Bombyx mori: one gene and its partner. The protein of the gene in region 2 purifies or fractionates together with the protein of the main gene of each other region. This does not show direct contact. Links are inferred from orthologs where the notes say so. Each region holds a gene or a part of one and is shown on either strand. Other genes may lie near its edges.

Region 1 (4,172 bases), on a different chromosome or scaffold from region 2:
GGATCGGGCGAAACCGTAATTACGTATAACCTTCTAGTTTCTATCTAAAGTATTGGTGGCAGAGCATCTTGCAGTCATTGGAATTGTCGTGGCCTAGATAAGACGCTCTTACTAGTATCGAACGATGCAACCATGCCAGTGTTCCAATACCGCAGGCAGATAAACATTTTTGTAATGAAATACGTACATAACACGTTTTCGTGTATGCCTCCCAAAGTGATGCAATAAAATCGTGTGATAAAAAAAAATATTAATTTGCGAAAACCGCGACGGTGCGTTAATCGGCCAATTGTTGCTCTGTTAATTTTAATATTAGCAGCTTTTTTTTCTTTGTTTTTATTGCCCTTATAGGCAGACGAGCATACGGCCCACCTGTGAGTGGTTGGTTAACGTCGCCCGTGGACTTCAGCAATCCCAGGGGCAGAGCCAAGCCGCTGCTTACCGCTACCACTACAGCTTCCAATCTCATCTTCACTAGTACATTTCGTTTTACATTAAGTTCATTTTCATGTCTCATAGACACAGTTAATTTCTTGTTGAGTACGCACCAGAGAATATGTTCAGCAAATTGATGAACACAACCGTTTCAAAATTATTAATGAATCTTAGTTTAACAATGGTTTAATTAAAATTAATCATACCGATATCCAAACATGGGTGAGAGAATGCGTAGTATTGTTCCCAACGTTTGTAATAATAATACAAGCGTAGAAAATGAGTATCAGAGCTTCTGTATTAATAAACCGACTTGATATAAGGAAACTAACTTGTTTAGAACCAAGAATACAGAAAAGGTTTTTTTTTATTGCTTATATGGATGAACAAGCTCACAGTCCGCCTGGTGTTAAGTGGTTACTGGAGCCCATAGACATCTACAACGTAAATGCGCCACCCACCTCGAGATATAAGTTCTAAGTATAGTTACAACGGCTACCCCCACCCTTCGAACCGAAACGCATTACTGCTTCACGGCGGAAATAGGCGGGGTGGTGGTACCTACCCGTGCGGACTCCCAAGGTCCTACTACCAGTTTAAAATCGTTCAATCGTCTTGACATATGAGCCCGAACCGGCAGCAAGAAGTTGTTATTTCATTTATTTTTCGATGTACCTATCACTTATTTCTGGAATTTGTGTAGTTCCTTGAAATTCAGTGCATTTACAAATCTAATATTAGCGTAATATCTATGTTTACCAACGAACTGTAGACCATAGATAATAAATACACTTCACATTTAAGCGGTGGACTGATCACCATAGCAACCGTAGCGAAGCACTTCAAAACAATCACGCATTACTTTTAGCGTAATTCAAACATTATCAACATGGATTTAAGACTTATGGATAAATTACGTTTATTAAAAATCGACACGGATCTGCGTCCCCAGATAAAAATGAAACCGTTGAGTCGATATTATTTCGTGACGTCCACTAATCCGAACGAACAGTTTTTCGTGTTTGCCTCGACAGCGGCCTGGTTGATAAGGAAGTGTGGCAAGGATTTCGCTCAGCCCAACGAAGAGGACGATCCTAACACAATCATAGCTGCAGTAATTGATGTACTCAAAGAAAACGAAGTTAATGTAGATTTCTCTTCGCATAAACTAAAACAAGGATGGGGCGATCAAGTTTGTAGTATCCTGAATATTCTCGCAGATGAAGCATTGAAAAAAGAAAACTTTGAATGGCAAAAACCAGTTGTTGACATACCAGAATCAGAAGAGTCGGTTGATGACATTGATCAAGTTGAAGACGAAACCGAAATATTACTGGACAAAGTTGAAGATGAAATGCCCATTTATTCTGATGAATCTGAAGGAGATATTAATGCAGACGAAAAAGAACCAAGTAACATAGCCCAAAAGGTTCACGATTGGGAAGCGTGGAAGTTGGAATTGGAAAGGGTCGCTCCGGCTCTAAGATTGAAGATATCCGCCGATGGACGCGACTGGCGAGCGAGACATGCACAGATGAGGAGTTACAAAGAAGAGTTATTCGATAGATTTAAAACAACGGGAACCCAGCTGAATAAATTGCACAGTAGCATTTCATCGGCTATGGATAAGGTAACGGCCAGGGAGAATATATTGAATGAGCAATTCGAGCCTCTTGTCAAAGAATATGGTTCTCTACTCGACGAACTAAACAAAGTGTCAAATGAATATAAAGAGGCCAGTGTAGGTATCACTGAAAGGCAAGACATGTTGAACGAGCTTTCAACAAAGCTAGAGAATATTAAACAAAGAACCGAATCTAAAGGGTCCTCGATGAACGACAATTCTCCTCTAGTTACAGCAAAGAAAGCTGTCGCGACCTTGAAGAAAGATATACAGGAAATGGACTTTCAGATCACGGTGTTGCTGTGGCTTCTGACAACAAAGGAATCGAATGGCAACAGTTTACTTAATAACAAGGAATCTGGGATGATTGCCAACGAAGTGTACTAAATACAATCTATACTAATACATCAATCTAGTGGTTTTTACGGATGTTCCGTTATAACTACTGAACCGTGCATCCGATTGACTTGAAACTTGGTATCCATGTAGATAATACATGTACTTAATGGATAGGCTAACATTGATGTGTTGGACTCCCTACACCAGTTGCGGGGGCGTTAATGATGAGAATTTTTGTGGGGTTGAGAAATAATAATGTTTAAATGCCCAGCGAAGCGGAGGGGTTCAGCTAGTTAATTATTATTTTAGATTGATACAGTATTTGTACGAAGTTTTTGGTGTGTCGCTATTAATGTTGGCAAATCGAATCCAAGGTTTGCCACTAAGCAGTCTCAACAAAATAATTCTGTCAAAACGAAATGGTTTGTTATTTGTTGAATGCAATGTATGGTTTAATACGACTATTTTGCCCGACTTTATTGGACTACCGAACAATGCATTTATAAGACATGAAATGTATTAATGTCTTGTTTCAATAACTGTTTGTAGTTTTTTAAGATTTATTTTGTCTCATGTATGCAAACTCTTCTTTGTACTACTAGGCTACTTTGGTCATATTGTCAGTTAGGAACCTAACAATTGTCACAAACTGGTGGCGTTGTGGCTAAAGTAAATTGCAAAAGGCCTCATAGATGCCCTTGCTTTTACCAAATGAAGACATTCATTGGCCTACCTCACTTCAGCTCTTAGAGTTGCTGAAAATCGACGACCTCAGTTAAAAGAAGAACACGATCAAGAAGGATCAGAAAAAAAATTGTAAATTTTGATGACATTAATTTTTATATTGGTGGGCTATAAATAAATACCTATCAGCGTTTTATACGGTTTTCTCGAGTCGTAGACATAATTAAAATTAATTCTACGATTTAATATAATATGCTTTTCATAGTTTTTTTTTACACGGACGTCGGGCCACGACAACTGTAAAAGTATTCGAAACTCTTTTTCTTTTTCTCTACCTTATCCCACTAGGTGGGGTCGGCACAGCAAATTTTTCTCTTCCATTCTCTTCTATCAGCCGTCATCTCAACACTCACTCCTCTCTCTCTCTCTCTCTCTCTCTCATATCGTCATTCACACACTCCATCCATGACCTCTTCCCCCTCAAAGTATTCGAAGCGTCGGATATAATAATTCTAGGAGTGAGAGGCTATTTGGTTTCAGCGACATATTTGCAACTTTACAGGACTCATATTCAAAGTTTAAAATTTGGAAAAAATATCATACCAAAAAAACTTCTTTAGCTATTTGATTGGGGTAAACTTAATTGAATAAAAACATCGAAGTGTTGATGCTAATACCAAATAAAACGGACCTTTAGTTACATCGATAAATGTCGAGCCAAATAACCTGTCACCCCACGATACAATGAAGAAAAAAAAAACGCGATATTAAACTGTAAAAGATATATTAATTAATATCTGTTAGATTTTTGAATTGCGACTTAAATATTGTATTACAAAAAGTATTGTACAAGTAGTATTGACGTCATTTTATGACCATTCCTTTGCGGTTGAGGCTGTCCGTTTATGGAATGCGTTACCCTTAAGCGTTAAACTATCTTCCTCGCCGGAAATTTTCAAGTCCAGATTGAAATCGCACTACTTTGCTTCTATGATATAACTGTATAAGTTCCTACTTCTTTTGTATTTTATCTTGTATATTTTTAGTATTTATTTGTATTTAATCGTATGTAAGTTTATCTTATATGGTA
Region 2 (4,285 bases):
ACCTGTGCTGATAGCCTTGAAAGACTATTTCAGCTACGCCCAACATGTAGGTGAGCTCACAGGGCTCAAACCGGAGTGTTGCTGACACTGGCCCCAGCAAGAGCAGTGCTTCGCAGAATCTACCACCGGATCGAAAACGCGACCCACTGAGAAGATCCGGTAAGACACTCAGTGGGCTGTGACTGTGGGTTTATTCGCTCGACGAGGACGGTGACCGGTAGAGACAATGCGGTATCCTCGGAGATACAGCAGCTTGCCCGTTTCTACCGTGAAACAATCATGTGTTCTAGTTTGAAGGATAGGGAGGTCAAACAACTGTTATACTAAAAGTCATCGAAGATGCAAGTATATTTCCCACAGCAGTGTACACATATACTGGATTGTATATACCTAGGCTCTAATTATAGTCTACCGTCTTTTACTAATCAGTCTACTAGACTAATAAGTCACGAAATTAAAATTAAATAAATAACCTTAGTAAAACCATCCTCAGCCCCGGAAACAACCAAATTGTTATTTGCGTTCCAAGCCGTGCACAAAATGAGACCATCGTGAGCTTTCCACTGAAACCATTTACAAAAAATATTATAGTTAATATAGGTAAAGGATTAACTATAAAAATACACAGGAAACAATCAATATAATTTACAAACAGTTAATAAATAATATAGACAGATAACAAAAAAAAAATACCCTGAAACTAATCTCGAACACTATAATTTGAATTAAATCTCACTGGATTACCTTAACAATTTTACTGCTCGAACTCAAATGCTTGATAACGAGAAAGTTTTCTTTTGTGTGCAATATAGCGTTACTGTCTGGACTCCAGACGGCGTCGAAACATGGCACATCCGATTGAACCAATGTTGAACGAAGGAGACCGTTGCGAGACCAAATCTTCACAAAACCATCTTCGCCGGCTTAAAAAATGTTTAAACAAAAAATGTTTTTGTTTTCAGAATTTATTGACAGGTACTACAGTTTACCAGGTGCATATTGCTAATCGTTGCTTTAATCTCGCGCTTAGTGTTTTAATTTTATTGTTTCCGACATTTTGATTATTTTATAGATTGGATGTTCGTAAGGAGTACAGTATTATTCGTCGACATTTGAAAATTGTGCTAACTACCTTCTATGTATTCGATGTTGGAAAGGTTTCAATGTAACCAGTATGCTAGGCATACTATAGGTACTTAGTGGGAGTTTTTTAAAAGTTCTCGGTAGCGCAAAAGCTTTTTTTTTTGGTCAGGGTGAAATCGCCGAACTCCCACCCTCCACTGGGGATAGAGGGCGGGGTATGTGTATGTATGACCGATTTGGCTAATTTTGGTCTTGAATTATTCGTGGTAGTCCAGAGAAGGTTTGAAAGGTGAGAAAATATAAAAAAGCTCGGAATCATATAAAAACAAACAATTTTGTTTTTCTTTTGATGTGTCCCCTAGATATGTCTTTTATTTATCGATTGAGGCATTACGAACTCTGCCGGGTCAGCTAGTAAGATATACATATCTAGTCAAAGAGACGGTCATTTGGACATTATTGATTGTCATCGTGAATCGATGTCGGTAAGGTTATCAAAATTTTAATGAGAGAGCATCAGTTATTCATTCTCATTGTAAATTAATTAGCAGTAGAACAGCGAGAGTCTCTTGTCTGAATATAATGGATAAAGGAGGTCTCATCATTGCTTATTTTTATCCATTGGACTAGGTACTTTTAAACTACTTTTAGGTAAACTAGCGACCCGCCCTCGCTTCGCTTCGGATTATTCGGATATTATTGATTTCTCTACTATTTAATGGATGTTATTATACATATAAATCTTCCTCTTTAATCACTTTATCAACCGCATCAAAATCCGTTGCGTAGTTTTAAAGATTTAAGCATACATAGGGATACAGGGACAGAAAAAGCGACTTTGTTTTATACTATATAGTCAAGAAGATGATCAATAAATTAACAGCTATATTAAACGACTAATAATTTTAATACCTGTTAGAAGACCCGCTCCGTCTGGACTCCACTTTGCTGTGAGGCAAGCCCCCTCGTGAGCGGTCACCGATTTCTCTATACGTCCATTGTGATTTACTATATGAAATCTAGAAATTTTATTTTACATTCTACTAATATCAGAATCAATAAAAAATAAACGATTGCAATAATGGGTGGATCATGAACATTGGCAATTTAAGACACCTGCAGGTATTCATAATGAGAAAGTTGGAAAATCAAAGGAATCGTGGACGTCTAAATGGTTGAAATACGTAGTTAGAAACGGAAAAACAATAGGTTGTCCAAGCTACGGAATGAAATAAATGGAAGATTAATTTAATCGGGCCAAGGCCTATCTGTAGATCCAAACCTATTGAATTTGATGATCATAAATTCTTACTATTTATTCATTAATTAAAAAAGGAAACTTACTTGCCATCAGCTGTAGAAATCAATATGACATCATGTTGATGTTTACTGCCTCCTAGACTAGTTTTAGGAAATAAGTGCATGCTAGTCGGATAGAAATCATCAGGAAAAGTAGTTACCGGCAAGCATTCATTATTAACTAAATTCCACTTTAATAGTTTATGATCGTCTCTGGAATGTATATCAATACAGAATTAAAAATAAATATTTAAGGCAAAGCATTTTTATTTGTTATTTCACTTTTCTTATCCTATTTCCTTTACCCGCAAGAAAATACGTCCTCTGTATTATTCCAACAAACGCAAACCACTACACCGGTGTGTTTTGGTTCCTTGTGGGAGGAAATTTTAAATTTCATTCTGGATCAGTGAGTTGTTGATTTTGTACAGAGATTGAATTAATAATAAAAAAAGTATAATGTACTCTTCTACTATAGGAAAAATGCTACATCGCACTTAAATAAATGCAATTAGTCCAGAAAATACACGATTAGACAAAATGTTGCCATGGATACGCAAATACAACAAACTATTTTGTGTAACCTAAAAATAATTGTTCTAATTTGTGTTATTAATTGTTAAATAAATTTGTTGATGCTGAATATTTGCTATGATGTAATAATCAGTAATTGGCCATTAATCAAAAAAATTGCTATGAAGAATCGAAAATTGAGTTTCAGAACTTATAATGTATTTATAAACCCGTAAAACGATGGTGTTATTCATAATGTGATTTATATATTATGGTTTCCGATAGCTAAAAAGCCAATACCTATATGTTTAAATTGTAAAAACACAAAATTAAGAGATTTGGAAAAATATAACATAATCGCTGAAGAACACTTTTCTATTTTCTAAAAATTCAAATGAACTCATCAATATTTTATAATTTTACTAAGAGGTTAATTCTTAATATGTTGTTGCTTTATCTCTTTTTCTTTAATTTCATTTCATTTTACTTTCTTTTTACATAACAAACAAGGCTTCGGTCTTTGTTATAAAAACTTAATGTATGTGCAACATTCCCTTTGCCGATTTAATGAACAAATCAACAAACAATTTGAATGTCTAATGTCAATGTCAATATTCACATGCTGCCGATTGGGGAATCAATTTTATTTCAAGAAGAGTTTCCCATTGATTTTACGCTGAACATATACGTGTTGTCCGTAATTCAATATAATTTTTAATTATGTCGGATGTACCAGATCTTAGTAGTGACGAAGAGCATTTTGACGATGAAGAATGGCAAGAAATGGAAACCAGTAACGTGTCGGTAACATGCTTGTTTTGTTCAGAGCTGATTTCTTCTGTGGAAGAAGCTTTGGCCCACTGTGAAACTTCGCATAAATTCTCTTTAAGTATTCTAAAGCTCAAGTTTAATATGGACTGTTATTCATACATAAAAATGATAAACTACATAAAGACAAACAAGCCAACTGCTGAAGAATTTATGAAAATTAAGCACCCGCCTTGGAACGACGACAAGTATTTGAAACCTGTTGAGAATGACGAATGGCTCACATTCGACTTCGATTCTGTATCTGAAAAACCTAATTCCCCCAAAACATATCATGCCAATGTTGAGAATGGTGTTGTTACTCTTTCTCAGGGACATTTTACTGAATTACAAAAAACCATACAAACATTGAGCGAACAGTTAAGTGAGAGTCAAACTCATCTGCAAATGGCCAAGGAGGATATAAACAAAATGCAAGACTCAATGAAAACATTAGTTGAAGGCGGCCAGTCCTCAAGTTGTGAAGTAAAAAATAAAACAAGTTGTGTTGCGAGTATTCCTATAGAGTGTGACGAAGGATACTTTAACACTTATGCACACTTTGGAATTCATTACGATATGC

Evidence for each region.
Region 1: the proteins of intraflagellar transport protein 80 homolog (region 2) and intraflagellar transport protein 57 homolog purify together in Homo sapiens (affinity purification with mass spectrometry; 3 studies listed by BioGRID and IntAct, counting the BioPlex papers as one, with this or other methods). This does not show direct contact. The link is inferred for Bombyx mori from reciprocal best matches to the Homo sapiens genes IFT80 and IFT57.

The regions. Positions count from the first base shown.
Region 1 is NC_085120.1:9,285,773-9,289,944, forward strand, and holds the start of intraflagellar transport protein 57 homolog, read left to right. Parts: upstream 1-1,252; 5' UTR 1,253-1,324; coding exon 1,325-2,446; 3' UTR 2,447-4,172. UniProt on the Homo sapiens protein: Required for the formation of cilia. Plays an indirect role in sonic hedgehog signaling, cilia being required for all activity of the hedgehog pathway.
Region 2 is NC_085110.1:15,041,840-15,046,124, forward strand, and holds the start of intraflagellar transport protein 80 homolog, read right to left. Parts: upstream 2,952-4,285; 5' UTR 2,783-2,951; coding exon 2,688-2,782; intron 2,596-2,687; coding exon 2,428-2,595; intron 2,103-2,427; coding exon 1,996-2,102; intron 924-1,995; coding exon 745-923; intron 564-744; coding exon 474-563; intron 1-473. Other genes in the region: protein arginine N-methyltransferase 3, read left to right, coding at 3,616-4,285.